4 linked regions of the Caenorhabditis elegans genome follow. The protein of the gene in region 4 purifies or fractionates together with the protein of the main gene of each other region. This does not show direct contact. Each region holds a gene or a part of one and is shown on either strand. Other genes may lie near its edges. The genes, in order: gst-1, cpn-4, ttr-48 and T21H3.1.

Region 1 (3,936 bases), on a different chromosome or scaffold from region 4:
TCAATGAACTTCTTGGGAAGTATATGGAGCGAGGATCGTCGTTCAACACTAAAGAGATGAAGGCCACCATTCTCAAGATGTTTTCGTGGATGGCAGATCAGAGGAATGAACAGTTGATCACCCCGGTAATTATAGCTCTCTCTTTATTTTAGCAATATGCATTTTTCAGCATGGCGAGAAAGTACTCTGCTCACTCTTCGCATTGAACAACGCCGACTTCTCTGCACTTTTCAACGACTTCAACCCCGACTATCGCGATTGGGCATACAAAGTTCTTCAGTCTCACGGACATGATCAACACGTTCCACAACAAGATGCTGTTTCTGAAGAGGCCTGTGTGCGAGCCACGATTTCTACTACAGCTGCGCAGATAGAAGATTTCGTCGTGTCGAGGAATCTTGATATGACTCCAGTAAAATCGCCTAGCACAAGAGCCATTTCGTCGGGTTTCAAACGAGTCGATGCGGAACCACTTCGTCCTCTGTCTTCGGAAATGAATTCACAGCACAGAGACGAGGAACTCAGCTTCAATGAGTCATTCGACCGATTAAAGGTATTTAACAGCATTATATTTAAAAGAAAATGGTTTTAAATGACAAGTGGTCAGAGGATTTCGAACCCCCCCCCCCCCCCCCCTCTTTCTTCGTTTCAGTGGCCACGTAAGGCGCGTAGTTCAGCAAAGTATATTTTTCGTAGACGTTAAAAATCATTTCTACATTTTGGCTCAATAATGACCGTCAGTTTCATCCTCCTATTCTTTCTTCAAATTATTTTTCAGCTCAACTCAACAACGCATCTTATTGACGATACGTCGGAGCAGAGCAAGTACGTGGCGTCGAAGCTGGCCCAGATCTCTGGTGACATGGGAGCTCAGCAATACGAAGGACTTTTGTCGATCCAGACAATGTTGTGTGAAGGCTCATTCACTCTTTGGGAGCAAAACTTCGCCAAGCTGTTGATCGCTGTCTTCGATGTGCTCTCCAAAAGCGAATCAGACGCCAACAAGAAAGTAGCTCTGCGCGTTTTGACAAAGATGTGCACTTCGCAAGCATCGCGCTTGTTCGACTCTACGGAAATGGCCATCTGTAAAGTTTTGGATGCTGCTGTCAACTCACAAGACGGAACGATGAACGTGACCGCTGATGACTGCTTGAAAACGCTGGCAACCCACCTTCCACTGGCTAAGGTGGTTAACATCTCGCAGCTCATTTTGAATGAGGTAAGTTCAAGAATTTTTACATTTAGGTAATCTGTTTGTCAGTATTTGCAGGAGAAAGCTCAAGAACCCAAAGCAAGCTTGGTTCTGAAAATGATGACCAGATTGTTTGAAGGTCTCCAAGCCGACGAATTGAGCCCAGTGGTTGATGATTTGGCGCCATGTGTGATCAAGGTAACTATTTATCAAACATCGCAATTCATTAATGAAATTTTTACTTTGCAGTCTTACGATTCCCCATCGTCTGCAGTTCGGAAAACTGCTGTCTACTGTCTGGTCGCGATGGTGAACAAGTTGGGAATGAAGACAATGGAGCCACATCTTCAAAATCTGTCGTCTGGAAAGCTGAACCTTGTCCAAGTCTACGTCAATCGGGCAATGTCGTCCAGTTCACATTCGCACGTATGATTCGTCGTTGCAATGTAGCCCATAATTCCCCCGTATTCGTATCCCAAATTTCCCCCGTAAAACCTTATCGTCCCTTTTCTCTCATCCCTTCACTTTGTAATATAATTTTATTTGTCAAGAGCGGGTATTGCACACTTTCTCTATGCTCCTTTTAGCATAATTTCCCCCGACTTATGTCCCTTATGATTTTCGACCCCCGTATTTCTTATTTTTATTTTTATATATTTTCTTTTCTTATTTATTTTTTATATGAATATTTCTTAAATTTATTTCTTGTGTATAAGTTGAAAACCGTTTTTTCGTTCAGGCCAATATATATCTGGAACAATAGGTAAAAAACTTTCGGTATTCAATTAGCCATCACGTTTTGTTGACAGTAATCTCGTTTCAGTGTTTTTTCTGATCTGCTACCGGCGCCAAGACTAAACTATTGTTAATTTTCTAGAAACTTCTCTGGCATTTCAACGTCATCCAGAACAATTGTAATCATCTTAACAACTTTTTGTCATCATTTTCGTGCTGGCCACGTTGTCTTTCTCTTTCATTCCAGTGCTCTCTCTTGCTTGTTTCGTCTAGCACCCCTAGTACCTCCACGAACTATAAAAGCCGTTCTATTTGTCCACTTCTCACATTCGATTTCTTTTCTTAATTCTCTCTTGAAAACAAAAAAAACCAGTTTCCACATTTCAAGTGTTTGTTTTCAGTCAGTATTCACTCAACTTCGTTCAATATGACCCTCAAGCTCACGTACTTCGACATCCACGGACTCGCTGAGCCAATCCGTCTTCTTCTCGCGGACAAGCAAGTTGCCTACGAGGATCATCGTGTAACCTATGAACAATGGGCTGATATTAAACCAAAGATGGTGAGTTATTGTTTTCAAAGTTTTATTTATTTTTATTAAATGATTATTTTTCAGATCTTCGGCCAGGTTCCATGTCTTCTATCCGGAGACGAGGAGATTGTTCAATCTGGAGCTATCATCCGTCATCTCGCTCGTCTTAATGGTAACCATTTAAATGTTTTCTTCCGGTATCTTATAAAACAATTTTCAGGGCTCAATGGCTCCAACGAGACAGAGACAACTTTCATCGACATGTTCTACGAAGGACTTCGTGATTTGCACACCAAGTACACCACTATGATCTACAGAAACTACGAAGACGGCAAGGCTCCGTACATCAAGGACGTTCTTCCAGGAGAGCTCGCTCGTCTGGAGAAGCTTTTCCATACCTACAAGAACGGAGAGCACTACGTTATTGGAGACAAGGAAAGCTATGCGGATTATGTGCTGTTCGAGGAGCTCGACATTCATTTGATTCTCACACCAAATGCTCTTGATGGTGTTCCAGCACTCAAGAAGTTCCACGAGAGATTCGCTGAGCGTCCAAACATCAAGGCATATCTCAACAAGAGAGCTGCTATCAACCCACCAGTAAATGGAAATGGAAAACAATAAGCTAATTCAATTTTTTCTCATTTTGCAATCATCAAAAATTCCAGTTTGATATAATTTATTGTCTTCCTTAAAGCTTCCAATGAATCTCTGCTTCCCATACATCGTTTCAGTCGTTCGTGGAGCCAATACTCGGAAAATTATTCACTAATTTTTATTAATGTAACATTCAACAAAACATTTCAACCCGTAAGCCCATATACAATCAAGAAATGCAACAAAAAAAAGAACATCAAGTCTTATGCAAAATTTAGATGGAAACCCGTATAGCTCTAGAAAATAAGGAATTTAAATAATAAATGACGATTGTTCAGAAGATTCAAAAATAATGAGCTGGTTCGGAGTATCGCGTCATTGGTTCATTCTGCATTTGGGTGTACGATGTTGAAGCTCTTGTATACCACATTTCGCCATTTCCAAATGCTCCACATTGTGGTTGGAACTGAAAGTAACGTTATTTTAATTTATGTACGTTATATTTGAACTTTGTATATTACACATACGCGTAAAACGGTCTTGGCACGACAAATTTCTATTGAATGCGAAAAGGTGTGCGCCTTTAAAGATTACTGTAATTTCAAACATTTGTTGCTGCGGAATTTCCTTGTTACATTTATGTGATTTTATTGTTGTCCAGACTTTTAAACCATAACACTTATTTAGATTGGAAAGACTTAAAAATCCGCAAAAACACAAGATTCGAACTACAGTATTCTTAAAAGGCGCACGTTCTATTTAACAAAACTTTGTCGTGTCGAGACCGGGTACCGTATTTTTAATTGCAAAATTACATTGTTTCCCGTCTGTTCAGTTGAAGCTTAAAACTAACCGCTTCTGAGCTTCCAGCTTCAGTTTG
Region 2 (4,858 bases), on a different chromosome or scaffold from region 4:
CAGTCGGATGCGTTGTCAATTCAATTGGATGTTTTGCATTTGAAGGAGCCCAAGTTATGCGTTTTGATGCGGAAACTGGAAGAGTTTTGGAAACTATTCAATTCTCTACAAATATTGATGAACTTGTCGTTATTCAGCAAAGAGCACACGCTTTGGTTTATGTTGCCAAGACGGCGAAGGTGAGGAGCAAATTAAAAAAAATTTACTTTGAATACGCAGAAATTCCGAGATTCTACAGGAAAAAAACGAGAAAAAATCATTAAATTTGAAAAAAAAATCGATTGATTTTGAGAAATCTGAATTTCCTCGAAACTCCGCCCATTTTTCCGTGCCGCACTTTGTGTTTTCAACACGAATTATTCATTCTTCAATTTTTTTCTTCGAATTTTGGTAGTTTTGTGCACTTTAAGCATTTAAAACTGTGTCTCCGCTTGAAAATTCGAAGAAAAATGGAGAAATACGAAGAATTTGCAATAAAGTCAAAGTGCGGCACAGAAAAATGGGCGGAGTTAAGACACAAAAACGCGGTAATTCAAATTTGCCAAAGTCCACTGTTTTTTCAAACAATTTTGGCGTATTTTAAACCAAAAAAATCTGCGTTCGGGGGGAATCGAACCCCCGTCGAATGCTTGGAAGGCATCCATGCTGACCATTACACCACGAACGCGGCGGGTAACCGGGGTCTTAATGGGCTTGATGTTGCGGAAGAGAGACCCCCGACAACTGTCAGTTTTATAATGGCTTCCTGGAGGCAAGTATTTCGTCGCGTTCGTGGTGTAATGGTCAGCATGGATGCCTTCCAAGCATTCGACGGGGGTTCGATTCCCCCCGAACGCATTATACATTTTTACATTTTTCTTTTCGATATTCAGGCTAATAATTAACCTTTTCCAGGGAATCATATGTCACCGTCCTGCACACATCAAGAATAGTGGAAGATCAGGAGAGATCGCAGTTCCACAGACTCCATTCCAACAACTTGGCTCAAAATCAACAGCTGGCCCATCCACAGTCACATCGGATCAAGCTTTCGTCCGTCAACCCAGGCCTGAAGCGGCCCGCTTATTCTCCGGACCAGTTCATCAGCTCCCTCCAATCTCGTTCATCGCTCCACTTTTTATCGAAAAATCGTTGCTTCCACCGCCTGTACGTGGTGTCTAGAAGCATCTAGAACACTTTCTGATTCATCGCTCTCTCTTTTTGTTTTTGGTTTTTTTTTTTCACAAGTTTCAATCATTTTTTATTGTTGCCTTTCTTTTTTTCAATTTTTTTCCCTTCCACATATGCTACAATCCTTTTGTTATCACACACACACATTTGTTATCGTTGTTGATTTTATTTGTTCATGAATTCGTTTTTTTTAAATTTTTATTTATTTTGCATGATTTTCTTTCAAAACGTACCTTAAAAAAACAGAAAAAATTTCAATGAAATATTAAACTTGTCCGAGAGAAGTACACACGTTTCGCGAAAATGCACAGACTGTCAACTACCGTAATCGGCATAGGCGTAGGCTTAGGCTTTTTCTCATGTTTAGTCTTAGGCCTAAAATTAGGTTTAGGTGTAGGCTTAGGCGTAGGTTTAGGCTTAGGTTTAGGCCTGGACTTAGGCCTGAGCTTGGTCTTAGGCTTAGGCAGGCCATAAAATTTCTTGTGAAGTCTACAGAAACTCCAAAGAAACCAGTAGAAGTAGAGGTGGAAATTAGGATCGGGCCTTTGCCTGAGCCTAAGCCTAAGCCCTTGCTTAAACCTAATTTTGAATATCAGCCTAAACCAGACAAGCCCAAGCTTAAGCCTAAGCTCAAGCCTGAGCCTAATCTTAAATCTAAGCCTACTGGCAAGTCCAACTCTAGGCCTACTTTCAATCGGGCTTTATCAGCAATTAAAGATTTAATATCTAGAGAATGATGGCAAATACTAACATTTACTTTTATTTTTCAAATTTATCACTTCACTTTCAACACAGACACAGTTGAGTTGCTCAAAAGTTGCAAAGAGTCAATAGGTCAATAATACAGGTTTTTGTGTATCCCCCATCTCTCTCTCAAGTGTCAATCACTTTCAACCGTTCCCTTCCAAAAAAAAAAAACGAAAAAACGTTCTGGAATGTTCTGTGCTCGAGCTCTCACTCTCTTGTTGTTTCGAAATTCATCCCCTCCTTGGGGCTCTGACTCCGCCCATTGAAATTCGGGGGCTCACCTCCCGCGGATGAGTCGGCTCTAGCGTCCACCCACACGCGCAAAAATCAACACTAACCTTTTGGAAATAGTGTACAGATTCGACGAGACGCAGACAGTTTAGTCAAGAATATAAATAGGAGCTCGGTGAGCAAGATCCTAGAGTCAGAGCTCGACGAGCAACAAGACAGGCACAACCAGTTTTGCCACCTCCTTTGTTTTAAGTTTCGAAAATCTTCGAAATTTGATTTTTCTTACTGATTTATACTTTTATACTCTACTTTTTGTTGAAAATTTTTGCCTAAAATTTGAGACTTTCTAGCAAAAATGTCACAAAGTTATCATCGACCAAGACCAGCCGGTATGGCCGGAGCCATTTTGGACAAACAGGCAAGCAAGTTCAATGATGTTGAAGCTGGATACTTGTTGGAATGGATTCGGGTAAGATTTGGGTAGATTTACGGAGTTCAGTGTGGATTTACTAGAGAGTGATGTAGTTTTACTTTATATGGAATTACAAAAGTTTAATGTCTACATATATACATGTAGATTTACGAAGCTCCACATAGATTTGTAAAGTTAAGTGTATACTTACGGTCAGTGAAATGTAGATTCACAAGACTCTGTGTAGATTTATGCAAGTTCAGGTAGATATACGTGATAACATTGTACATAGATATCAGGTAGATTTACAAAACTCCATGTAAGCCTATAAAGTTAAGTGTAGAATTGCCGCTTCAGATTTACAGATATATGCGTAGATTTACGATGATTCATGTAGCTTTACGGAGCTTTTGTAGTATTCACAATTTATTGTAGATTTACGGAGCCTTTTGTAGATTTACAGAGTTTCTTCAAGATTTACTCATCCCCCTGAAAAACACCAATATAATTTCAAATTCTTTTCAGGACTTGACAAAAGAGGATTTCGACTGTGAAGCATCTCGGGACAATTTTCGCGAGCAGCTCAAAGACGGGCAACGATTGTGCAAGTGAGTGTCTTTTTTTTGTCTATTTGTACGTAGAGTTGGGGGATGCAAAATGTCAATAATAATCACGAACTGTTTGGGAAATGTGAGATGCTCTGTGAGCTTAAGGTGATGTGATTTTGAGATTTTATTTTCTGTTTTGTGATTATGTTTGTTTGAACACTTTGGATCCTATTTTCCTAGAACCTAGAACAATAAAGTCTCTAAAAAAAACTGTCTTTACCAGACTTTGTGTTTTTACGAAAAGTTTACGAAAAGTTCATGTAGATTTACGAAAGTTCATGTAGGTTTACGGCTTACAAAACTATGTAGATTTACGGAGCACCTAGCTTTACGAATGAGCTATTTACAGTAACCCTATTCCAGACTCGTCAACGCCATCAAAGCAGGAAGTGTGAAGAAGATCATGAAGCCAATTTCCAATTTCAACTGTCTCGAGAACATTAATCAATTTTCCACTGCCGCCAGAAGTCTCGGAGTCAAGGATGAAGAGGTTTAATCTACCATATACTTTTGGCGCGATGTTCAAAATTCAAATCTTCATTTTTTCAGACATTCCAATCTGTCGACTTGTTCGATGGCCGTGACCTTTTCTCCGTTACAGTAACCCTTCAGAGCTTGGCTAGAAAGGTAATAATTTGGTTTTCATTTGCAAATTGATTTGAAAAACTCCAAATTTCAGGTCGAAAAGCTCGGAATCACGCCACCAAAGCAAGTTTCCAAGGACCAAATCGTCAATCAATAATTTAAATTTTTTCCATTTCATATCGGCTTCAATCTTTTTTCGAAATTTACTTTTATTCACTTTCTGTTCCCAATTCACTTTTTATAAAGATTTTTCTTCCAAATTTTTTCTGAAAAGTTCTGCAATGCCGCCAAGGATTTTCCTGCTGATTTACGGTGCTCAATGTAGATTTACGGGGCTCTATGTAGATTCACGGGGGTTCATGTAGATTTACGAGGATCCATGTAGATTTACGGCGCTCGATGTGGATTTACGGGGCTCTATGTACTTTTACGAGTCTCCTTATAGACTGCGTAACTTCAAAAGTTGAATTGTTGTCATAGGATAATAAATTTTATTTTCTTTTCAATTTTAAACGTGAAATGAAAAGTTCAAGCTCTTGCACTCTCTCCAAAATTTTATTTCTAATTATATAAACTTGCTCGAACTCTATTGTGAAAATGTATGGACCAGGATATGCTCCATATTATGGTTCACCATATGGAGACCCATGTTATGGTCCGGCCTATGGTCCAGCCTATGGGCCTACTTATGTTCAACCAATTGCTCAACCAGTTTATGTACATGATACACGTGCGGAGTGAGTATTTTATTGTTTTCAAGCTTTTCTTAATAAAACCTTCCACCACTTTTATTATTAGAGCGCGATTGCACATACATATACTTTAAAATTTTAAAATTTTTTGTTATTTCAGAGAAGCCTGTTGTGCCGGAGCCTGCTGTATGGCACTATTCTGTTGTTGTGCAATGAATTCTTGATATGTGCATTTATTGTAGAATTAACTTAAAATCTTCAAATCTTCAAAAATGGATAAATCACAGAAAATCAATGGCCTGGAATGTTTGTAATTCAATTTATCTATCCAAATATGGGACATGATCCGGCTGCTCCGGGAATCGATTGTGCCAAACGAAAAAGTAGAAAAATGTAGAATCTGTGATAATTGT
Region 3 (4,836 bases), on a different chromosome or scaffold from region 4:
TTATATTTCAGATTCACGAAACATCAATCTCAAATTCAATCTCTTCTGTTACTGCTAGCAGTCTTCTTAGCAGAGAGCAGCATGTAAAACGAAGGAGAAAGAGGACGAATTTGGATATGAATCAGCGAAATGCTCTGGACACTTTTTTTGCGCTGAACCCACGTCCCGACCATGATAAGATGACAGATATTGCAAACTCTCTAGAGCTCGACCGGGATGTTGTAAGGGTATGGTTCTGTAATCGTCGTCAAAAGATGAGAAGAGTCGATGAGCCAATTGAGGGAGAAATGGTAACACCGTCTGTTAGTCCTGTCTTCCCGCATTTTTCATCTGTAAGTCAATTGAATTTTACTATTTTACTCATTATGTATTTCAGATGAGTGCGCTGGAGCAAATTCAAGAAGCCGCTAGGTTAGCTTCTTGTCAAGCCAGCAATGATGACAGTGAGTTGAAAATTTCATCAAGCTCACATATAAAATTAATTGTCTACAGGTGACGGAACATCCGGAAGCCCAGATGCACCATCCAATGACGGCTGCTCGGATCTATAAACTCCAGTTCACTTGTTCACTCTCAAGTTCACTCTCTGTCCACATTTTCCTTATTCATTACCTCAACATTTTGCGTCATTACGGTAATCAAGAGCGTTCAAAGCAGTTCAAGCAGTTTTTTTTTCAAATCTCTGCATTCTTTCTTCAAAATTCAAGCATAACATTTTCGATTGCACACATAATTTCTCATTTTCCCCCCATTCCGGTTGACTGTTCTATTGCCCGGTTTCTCGTCTGATAGCAGTATGTTGCATTTACAACTCTTTTATTCGCTTTTCAAATACCATATGCTCAGGTTTTTTGTCCCGCTGTTTCTTTTTTCTTTCTGATTCGCACGTTTGATTTCTCGGATCCCGTAGAACTTTCTAGCCTAATAAAATTATTTTTTTTTGATGTGCTCCACACAATTGAGCAGCTTCTCAGATGCGGTTAGTAACTCGATTTTCATGGTCTTTTCTGCCATTCACCCTCACCTAATTTCACAGCTTCTCTCGTTTTGACTAGTCATCAAAACGAATACACACCATTCTTTTTGTACGCTGAAAGTTCATGTTTTTCTCAGAGTGTTTTTGCCTTTTTGTGTATCTATGATAATTGTACGTTCCGGTGAGATTTCTAGGTTGTTCATCTCATTCTTTCCCGATAATTGCTTGAAACCCACCGACACACTCCGTTTGAATATTCACCTCCCCATTCTTCCTGGTGCATAGTTACGATATATTCAATTGGAACTGCTGGTTTCGATTTTTAAAACCCGGAGCTTTTCTTCTGATAGGGTCAATTTTTGTATGTAACTTTTCGAGAACAGTTTTATTTTTTCGCATAATTTTTTGATAAATATTGAACACTTTCAACATTTTCCAGAAAAATTTAATTTCAGATACAGGTATTTTTTGTGAATTTTCATCAAAATTTAAGTGGAGTCACCACAAGTTAGGTGTGGTATGGTTTTGTAAAAATTTGTTTTAAAAATAATTAAAAGTGTTGTATGTTGTATAAATGTTGTTTTTTTTTTGGAAGTCGCCTATCAAAAAATTGTTTGAATAGGTTGGCTATGACATTTGGTCATTTTTGCATCATAGCTGGCACCATGGTTTTTTAAAAATGTCGCAGCGTCTAGAAACTAATTTTTGTCGTCCAATTTTGGTTACAACATTTTGGGTATAACTCTGCGACATTGACAAGTCGGTCAAATTTCAAATTATTCTAATTTTAGGCTATTTTTTGAGCTGTAATAACTATTTTTAATAGTTTTCAAGAAGTTTCATTATGAAATTCGGTGTTTTCAGACAATTTTAAATATAATAAACAAATAAAAGAAATTCGACTACACCACCTTTAAAACTCCAAATCACGTCAATAGATGTATTTGTTCTTATTTGTGTTGAACCATATGTTGAATAATCATCAACTGATCATATAATCAATATAAATTGTTTATTTTTCTTTTGAATGAAGAGCCAAAGTGTCCTTATTGTCAATAGCTTCGCGATAAGAGTGATAAGCTAGAATAGTGTTGACCAGTGTTTGGTCTATCAAAACGGTTTAGAAACTTGATAATGAAACTGTACACTGCGACCGTTTCATTTTGATTCTTCCCAAGTGTTTTGGGAAGCGTCGAACATTTTGATCAATATCAATTGGTGTCTACGTGCATCTCTATTGAGAGGTCAGGTGTTCACTGAGCATTTTGTTTTCCGGTATCTTCTTCAATATCCTTTCTATTGATTCATGAATCGCTGAGAAATACGTTTAATTATCACATTTCAGCATGATTTTCATATTTATCGCCGCTCTTCTTTTACCAATTTCATACGTTTCTGCTGGAGCGGATCTTGATGTCCCAACTAACATTGCCAACAGGTAAATTTAATTTTCAATTTTGTAAAAATCAATTTATATTTTTAGAACCATGGCAGTCAAAGGACAACTGTATTGTGGAAAGAAGCCTTTCGAAGGAGCCAAGATCCGACTTTTCAGAACATTTCAACCAAATGCAGCAGATGGTAAGTAAGGTATCAAGTTTTGAGCAAGACCATAATCATGTCAGATCTCGCCGAGCTACTCGACGTAAAGAACACATACATTACGGGAATGTTCCAAGTTGAAGGAGGTACCGCGAGGTTTGTTATTTTTTGCTGAGAAAAGGTTATTTAAAAAGTCAAAAGTTTTCTATTCATGTCTTGCTTATCAATAGTGCCAATAGTGCGTGCATTCGAAATGAAGTGAAGTATGTCAGAATTATCTTGTGCTGAAAACATTATGAGAAGGAAGTTTTACACATTGTTGTAGTGGCATAAATTGGAGAACAGTTTGAAAATACAAGTTCTGAAAGGTGGAGCACGGTCAATGAAAAATAATGGAAACGCATTCATATGACCAAAAACTGACCGAATATCTAAATGAAGTTTTTCAAAAGTTTTGGAATATTTTTTCTAAATAAGCGTAAACTGAGGTTTTACAACTTTTTGACTCGAAATAAATAATTTTCCGAAGTTATTAAAAAACATTTTTTAGCTCCAGAACAATAATGTTTAATCGTTTTCACACTCGCTATTTTTCACCATTACATCGACTGGTTTTAGTATCTTATATAGAAAAAGCAATTCAGACGAACAATTCTAACAATTACAAACTTTTATTTCACTGAATGAATATATTCTTACTCATTTTTTGGGGTCCTTAGAATCTTATCAAAAGTTAAGAGGTTTTTGGGTTTAGAAAAACATTCGGGAAGCTCCTCGATACTTCAAATCTCTACACAAAATATAGAAATTGTGATTCTCATCAAAATTGGAGAGATTTAAGGAAACCAAAGATTTTCAGCAATTTTCGGGACCTCGAAAATAGTGCTAAGTTCAACTGCAACATTTCAGAAATAGCTGATAGCAATTGCCTTGTTTTAAAACCTGGAATTAAGATTAAAATTTTGTTTTTATAAGTTTAACTTTCAGATTCCCACGTACCAAAACCGATATCCAGCCATATGTCACAATTCATCACAACTGCGGAATGGACAATAAGCAAACATCCAATGTAAGTCAAAGACCAGCACTTACGAAACAAAAATCAATTATTTTTATAGTACGGCTACAAACGAATTGGTGTCCGTCTTCCAGAAGATTACGTAACACTCGGAATCAAAGCAAGAAAGGTGTATGACTTTGGAATTCTCAATTTGGAGTTGGAGTTTCCACAAGAGACCCATGATTTGAAGTTCAAATTCACCGATTAAATTTAACTTTTCTTTCACAATTTTTTTCTTCATTATATTTCACATCAAATATTTTGAATTTTATTTAGAAGTTGTTCCCCATGAATGCAATCAGTAAAATTTCTCTTCTCATTTCAAAGCGCTCGCACTCATTTTGTTTTTGTTGTTTGGCACTGGCTGTTGTTCTGTTTTGGAAAACGGATACATCACGCATATCAGATCAGAAAATATGGAGGAAAAGGACGTGGTGTTGAGAAAAATAAAACCACCCAGGTGAGAAAGAGAAGAATCTCACGAAACTTTTCTCATTTGATCTTTGTTCACCGGAGGACAAGCCTTGAAACTGTTCATTTTATGAGAGCTGTTATTGCACGAACCGAAAGAGGGCGGTTTTTGAAAACTGACAATATGGACAGTAAAACTTTTCAGTATTGTTGTGTTCTGTGTTCCGCCGTTTTCGACAACAATTTCCAGTAAGTTTCAATGTTTTGCCGAATTTTCTCTGTATGGAATTTTTATGATACATAATGAATTTTCAAAATGGGGTTGAGCCATTTTTTTAGATAAATAACTGAAACTTTCATACTGTCCAAAAAATTATTATTTTTTGTACACTGAAAAATTTATGCAATACAGTTAGTTTGTGATGCACGCATAGTGGCTTAGAAAGCACACGCGAGCTCAATGATCAATTTTTTGCTAGTCGAAGTGTGTCCCTATGCTGCGAGGTTTATAAGGATATTGAAAACTAACTGACATATCTAGAAAAAACGCCAATTTACAACTCCTTCACAAGATTGTGAAGCAAAATGTTCTAATTTCTTTAAATTTCCCACTCTGAACGCTTCTCAAAAGATAAATCGAATTTTTTGTACTTTGCGAAGCTGTGGCAACTTGCTGGCTTTGCTTTAAAAAACCAATTATACTTTTAAAATGCTCTCTTTTGAGCCACGCATATATTTTTTAATATTTCAATAAAAAATTGGAATTTTTATATGAAGTAAAAAATGAGGGAAAACTCAGTTCTTACTTATAATAATTTCGGAAGTTCGCCAAAAAAAATGTTTACAA
Region 4 (5,067 bases):
AAAAACTCACAAAAAATCAATCTTCAGGTGACTTACTGATGAAAATAAAATTTGTTGAAGATTTGTCTTTAAAGGTTGACTAGCGTCACGTGGTGTCAAAGTGTCCCATTTTAGTTTGATCTACGAAAAATGCGGGAGAAGAGACGGAGATTTTTCAACTGATTTCGCATGGTTGAGAGTATGCTGACGTCACATTTTCCTGGGCAAAAAATCCCGCATTTTTGTAGATCAAACCCTGATGGGACAGCCTGACGCCATGGGTAGCGTTTGCGCTAATTTTGCCCTAAATGGTCGAAAAACAGTCTTAATATATCAATTAAAACTATGAAAAAAATTTACAAAAAATTTCTAATTTTTTCATGATTTTATAAATTTTGAAAAAAAGAGCTGAATTATTTTTGAATTCCCGCACAAATGAATGACGTCATTTTTGGCATTTTTGCATTTTTGGGCAATAAATTTGATTTTTTCAATATTTTTCAAAAATTTTTCAATATTTTTTACAATGTTTTTCAGACATTTTTCGGCGCAGCAAATGAAAAAAATTTGCTGAAACTCCAAAATTGGCCTAAAATCAATAATTTAGCATTAAAAAAACGTGTTTTTTTGGGAAAAATGTCTGAAAATTTTGACAAATTATGCGTCAAATTATGAAACAAAGAAAAAGTAAAGAAAAAGCAGTCAATATTCCCAAAAAGTGTCAAAAAATGACGTCATTCACTTGCGCGGGAATTCAAAAAAAAAATTATATTTCCTGTTCGAATTTTAAAAAAATCATTAAAAATTTAAAAAATTTTTATACATTTTTTGACAGTTATATTTGTTATATTGAGACTGTATTCTATCATTTAGAATTTAAAAAAAACCCACCTGTGCAACTCCAATTTTAAGGTAAGCGGGGATAAAGTTGGCTTGACAACATTTTTTGGAAATTTAATTTTCTTAAAGTTTGCTGATCAAATCAAATATCAGCCTTTCAAAAACATTTCATTCGGAAATTTGATTATTTGATTTTTCAGGTAGAATTCACGGATTTTCGGCTTCCCTCATAAATTGAAATGGAAGAAATTGCCGAACTAGGCCATTTTGGCTCGGCCATATCTTGGGTAGATTTACGGCGCGTTGCGTGTCGCGGCTCGATTTTAGTTGTGAAACTAAATGCATTTGTCCGTGTGGAGTACAGGAATTCCCACGCGTTGGCGATTGTCAATGGAGCGCAAAAAATTCAACGAGGAAGGCCAGAACCCCGTGTAGAATTTTTTTTAACACCACTGAACATTCAAGTATCAAGAACTTTGTTCATCTCCTACAGTGTTAGTTTGTGGTTCGAGGAATCAAACGACCATTTAAACTACTTGCGTAATCCGGTTCGATTGAAAATTTGATAAAAGAGCACAAGTTAAGCGGTATCATTCATATCAACGACTTTTTTATAGGTTGTGTGATATTTGAAACGGAATTGGTGATAAGAAAACGGAAAGTTAATAAAGAGAAATCGAATAGCAGAGTATCGTCATTTTCCCACCTTTTCTCCCAGTAATCATGTTTTAAATGTTAATTCGAAATTTGCGGCAAATTAAGTTTCGAAGTGACGTCACACAGGCTTCACTTCGGTGACGTCACGTGTTTCTGAATAAGATGTGTCACGTTTTAAAACGATTTTCCAACTTCCATCTCATTTGTTAACTTTAAATTATTCTTTCAGTATGCAAGCCTTACTGCTTGCTGCAGTCCTTCTGCCACTGGCTTCGGCCTTTGTGCTACCAGAAGCCCCAAAAAATCCAGAGAACCTCGACGTCTATACCATCCCATACAACGACGCCACTGCTCGCAAGAAGATTCTCTTCGCAGCCGGCGCCGCCTACGGATCGAATCCACAACAGTGCCTCGACAAAGCGTTCACCGGTGCCTCAATCAGGAGAATCATTACGGCTCGCTGTGACGTCAACCCAGCCGACAAATGCGTCGGATACACCGCCGTCAGTCCACAGGACAAGGCGATTATTGTGGTGTTCCGTGGAACTAACAACAATGTGCAGCTTATTTTGGAAGGATTGGAGACTGTCTTCGAGTATCACGTAAGATTAAAATTTCGAGTACTCCGGAATAAATGAAGCATGTTTCAGACTCCATGGGCTGCTGGAGGTGTCGTCTCCCAGTACTTCAACGACGGATTTTTGAACATCTGGAACGCCGGACTCAAGGACGATTTTAACACTCTTGCCGCCCAAAACCCAGGATTCCAAGTTTGGGTAAGAATTCGTAAAAACTGATAAGAAAATGATTATTGATGGGGTTAAAGTAGACTGTGCTCCCGTGTTGTTGACAGCTATCGTAGTCTAGCAAAATATACTTTGCGAGTTCATGAAGCAAGTGGTTGTTGCATTTCTACAGTGTATTCCTACACTTGTGATATAAGTGAGTATACCCCCCAGGAAGACGCAGACGACATGAGCTGGGTTGGTTGAGATCTCGATCGAAGTCGGCTGCACGTGGTCCCAGGCTGTCTCATTAGGGTTTGATCTACAAAAAATGCGGGAAATTTTCGCCCAGAAAAATGTGACATCGACACGTTCTTAACCATTCGAAATCAGTTGAGAACTCTGCGTCTCTTCTCCCGCATTTTCTGTAGATCTACGTAGAACAAGCCGATATGAGACACTCTGACACCACGTGGGCTGCAGTGCAGCTACACAGTACGTCGCGCAAGCCTTGATGCCTGATAGGTGTAACAATAATGCTTCGTTAAATTTTTTTTTAAAATAAAATAAGAAGTCCAGATCAGAAACGCGGGAATGTCAGTGGTCAACCTCGAACCACAAAAATGTTATAGAAACTTAAAACCCATTCCACGTGGTGTCAGGCTGTCTCATTGCGCTTTGATCTACAAAAAATGCGGGAATTTTTCCCAGAAAAATTGTGACATCAGCACGCTCTTGAACATGCGGAATCCGATGAGATGTTTGCGTCTCCTCTCCCGCATTTTTTGAAGATCAAAGCAAAATGGGACTTTCTGACTCCACGTGTCATTCTTGTTGGCGCATGAGCAGGACCCAACCAGTGGATAAAAGATCCTTGTGGATCCATGTGATGATCCCGTGGTGACAATGGTTTCTTGAAAGTAGTCCTATCATTTCCCGGAATACTGTTTAGTGTAGCACCCAAGGTGGTCCACATAAGAAAACGCGGTCTCGAACATTGTCCGTTGCAAATTTATTTTCGTCTCCCAAGGCTCAAAATCATGGGATTCTGGCCTTCCTCATTGAATTTTTCGCGCTCCATTGACAACCGCCCGCCGGACAACGCGTGGGAAAGTCGTGTACTTACAAAACTTCAGGTCACCGGACACTCCCTCGGAGGAGCGATGGCCTCCCTTGCCGCCTCCTACATCACCTACAACAAGCTCTTCGACGCCTCGAAGCTTCAACTCGTCACCTACGGACAGCCACGTGTCGGAGACAAGGCCTACGCGGCCGCCGTCGATCGTGACGTCACGAACAAGTTCCGCGTCACCCACGCCCACGACCCGGTGCCACATCTTCCAAAGGAGAACATGCAAGGATTCACCCACCACAAGGCCGAGGTGTTCTACAAGGAGAAAATGACGAAGTACAACATTTGCGATGATATCGATGAGAGCGAATTCTGCTCCAACGGACAAGTTCTTCCAGACACTTCTATCAAGGTATAAATCGTCCAAAGTTCTTTACTTCACCAATACTTTTATTTTTTTAGGATCATCTTCACTACTTCGACGTTGATGTCAGCGACTTGGGCTACTCAAATTGTGCTAATGTCAAGAACTAACTTTTCAATGTTTTAAACAATAAAATAGTTCACAACTGATTCAGTGGTTCAGAGTTGAAGTGGTGGGCCTGCCTACGCGCCTGCCTCCCATATGTTCGCAGAGGTCCGCACCAGGAATGTGCGGCAAATTTGCCGAATTTACCGAATTCGCCGAGCTCGGCAAATTTCAAAACAGTAGATTTGCCGAATTTGCCGAGCACGATAAATTTCGAAATTTTCCGCACACATCAAAAATTTTTTAACAATACAATTTTGGCCAAAACTATTGATTTTGTCCCCAAAAATTTAGTAAAATGGCATAAAATTGAGTTGTTATTTTGATGCTTAAGCAGACACACTACACGGAAGTTATTCAGACACCAGATTTTTATTCAGAATTCAGTAGTTTCGGTGCTCCAAAAAACATCAAAAAATATCAAATTTTCGGAGTTAATTAAGCACGGCAAATTTGCCGAATTTGCCGTGCTCGGCAAATATTGGAAGAAGAGATTTGCAAAATTTGGCGAGCACGGCAAGTTTTGAGATTTGCCGCACACCCCTTTTCCGTACAGGTTTGAGGCAGGCGTCGGAGCATAAATAGCTAGTAATTCCCTTGATAACAAATGTGACAGCAATCTGAAGATGACGTGATGTTCGTCATATTTCCAAGCAAAGTTAAATGACAAATTGCCTCGGAGCAACAGTAATCCCAAAATCAAACAACAAAGTCACACTTGCAACCAGAACTTTTTTCACTTTTCACAGAGCTATTTAAGTTTGCAAATTTTCAATTACAATTGTATTTAATGTATTTGACATTCAAAATGCTTTTTATTTTCTCCGTTTTAATTTGCAAATCATTCTCCCACAGTTCAATACCATATTCCGATCAGCTCTCTCGGAATAAACTGATCTATGCAGCCATCTCCGCGTACGCTTCTCCTCCACAAAGTTGCATGAGCTTGGCGTTTCAAAATTTTCAAGTCAAACCTCAGATTACTGTAGCTTGCGACACACTTGATGATACATGTTCTGGATTTACTGGAGTCGATCACGAAAGTCAGGCGATTTTGGTAGCTTTTCGTGGAACTAATCGTAACGCACAGCTGCTCGTTGAAGCCGTAGAAACTGTGTTTGCAAACAATGTAAGTTAGTTTATGCAAAAGCTCTGTCTAGGTCAAATTTTCAGAAATCCTGGGTTTCCGGTGGGCACGTCTCCGAATACTTCAGCGATGCGTTTTTCAAAATATGGACTTCTGGAATGAAAGATGACGTCATCAG

Evidence for each region.
Region 1: the proteins of T21H3.1 (region 4) and gst-1 fractionate together in Caenorhabditis elegans (co-fractionation; one large-scale study listed by BioGRID). This does not show direct contact.
Region 2: the proteins of T21H3.1 (region 4) and cpn-4 fractionate together in Caenorhabditis elegans (co-fractionation; one large-scale study listed by BioGRID). This does not show direct contact.
Region 3: the proteins of T21H3.1 (region 4) and ttr-48 fractionate together in Caenorhabditis elegans (co-fractionation; one large-scale study listed by BioGRID). This does not show direct contact.

What each region holds. Positions count from the first base shown.
Region 1 is NC_003281.10:9,057,003-9,060,938, forward strand, and holds gst-1 (Glutathione S-transferase P), read left to right. Parts: upstream 1-2,328; 5' UTR 2,329-2,354; coding exon 2,355-2,489; intron 2,490-2,543; coding exon 2,544-2,631; intron 2,632-2,679; coding exon 2,680-3,083; 3' UTR 3,084-3,179; downstream 3,180-3,936. Other genes in the region: cls-2 (TOG domain-containing protein), read left to right, coding at 1-125, 170-553, 779-1,219, 1,262-1,390, 1,442-1,624; lin-12 (lin-12/Notch intracellular domain), read right to left, coding at 3,400-3,522, 3,910-3,936. UniProt on the Caenorhabditis elegans protein: Conjugation of reduced glutathione to a wide number of exogenous and endogenous hydrophobic electrophiles. Prevents dopaminergic CEP neuron degeneration in response to Mn(2+).
Region 2 is NC_003279.8:10,923,392-10,928,249, reverse strand, and holds cpn-4 (Calponin-homology (CH) domain-containing protein), read left to right. Parts: upstream 1-2,499; 5' UTR 2,500-2,503; coding exon 2,504-2,617; intron 2,618-3,085; coding exon 3,086-3,168; intron 3,169-3,531; coding exon 3,532-3,658; intron 3,659-3,717; coding exon 3,718-3,795; intron 3,796-3,847; coding exon 3,848-3,910; 3' UTR 3,911-4,010; downstream 4,011-4,858. Other genes in the region: F49D11.10 (WD_REPEATS_REGION domain-containing protein), read left to right, coding at 1-179, 895-1,161; F49D11.7 (Cysteine-rich transmembrane CYSTM domain-containing protein), read left to right, coding at 4,351-4,490, 4,606-4,669; F49D11.2 (F-box associated domain-containing protein), read right to left, coding at 4,766-4,858.
Region 3 is NC_003284.9:3,839,934-3,844,769, reverse strand, and holds ttr-48 (Transthyretin-like family protein), read left to right. Parts: upstream 1-2,321; 5' UTR 2,322-2,322; coding exon 2,323-2,414; intron 2,415-2,459; coding exon 2,460-2,557; intron 2,558-2,601; coding exon 2,602-2,674; intron 2,675-3,505; coding exon 3,506-3,587; intron 3,588-3,636; coding exon 3,637-3,786; 3' UTR 3,787-3,901; downstream 3,902-4,836. Other genes in the region: Homeobox protein ceh-18, read left to right, coding at 12-332, 377-443, 493-551.
Region 4 is NC_003283.11:1,175,019-1,180,085, forward strand, and holds T21H3.1 (Fungal lipase-type domain-containing protein), read left to right. Parts: upstream 1-1,705; 5' UTR 1,706-1,706; coding exon 1,707-2,078; intron 2,079-2,126; coding exon 2,127-2,252; intron 2,253-3,337; coding exon 3,338-3,685; intron 3,686-3,735; coding exon 3,736-3,807; 3' UTR 3,808-3,846; downstream 3,847-5,067. Other genes in the region: F25A2.1 (Fungal lipase-type domain-containing protein), read left to right, coding at 4,611-4,931, 4,976-5,067.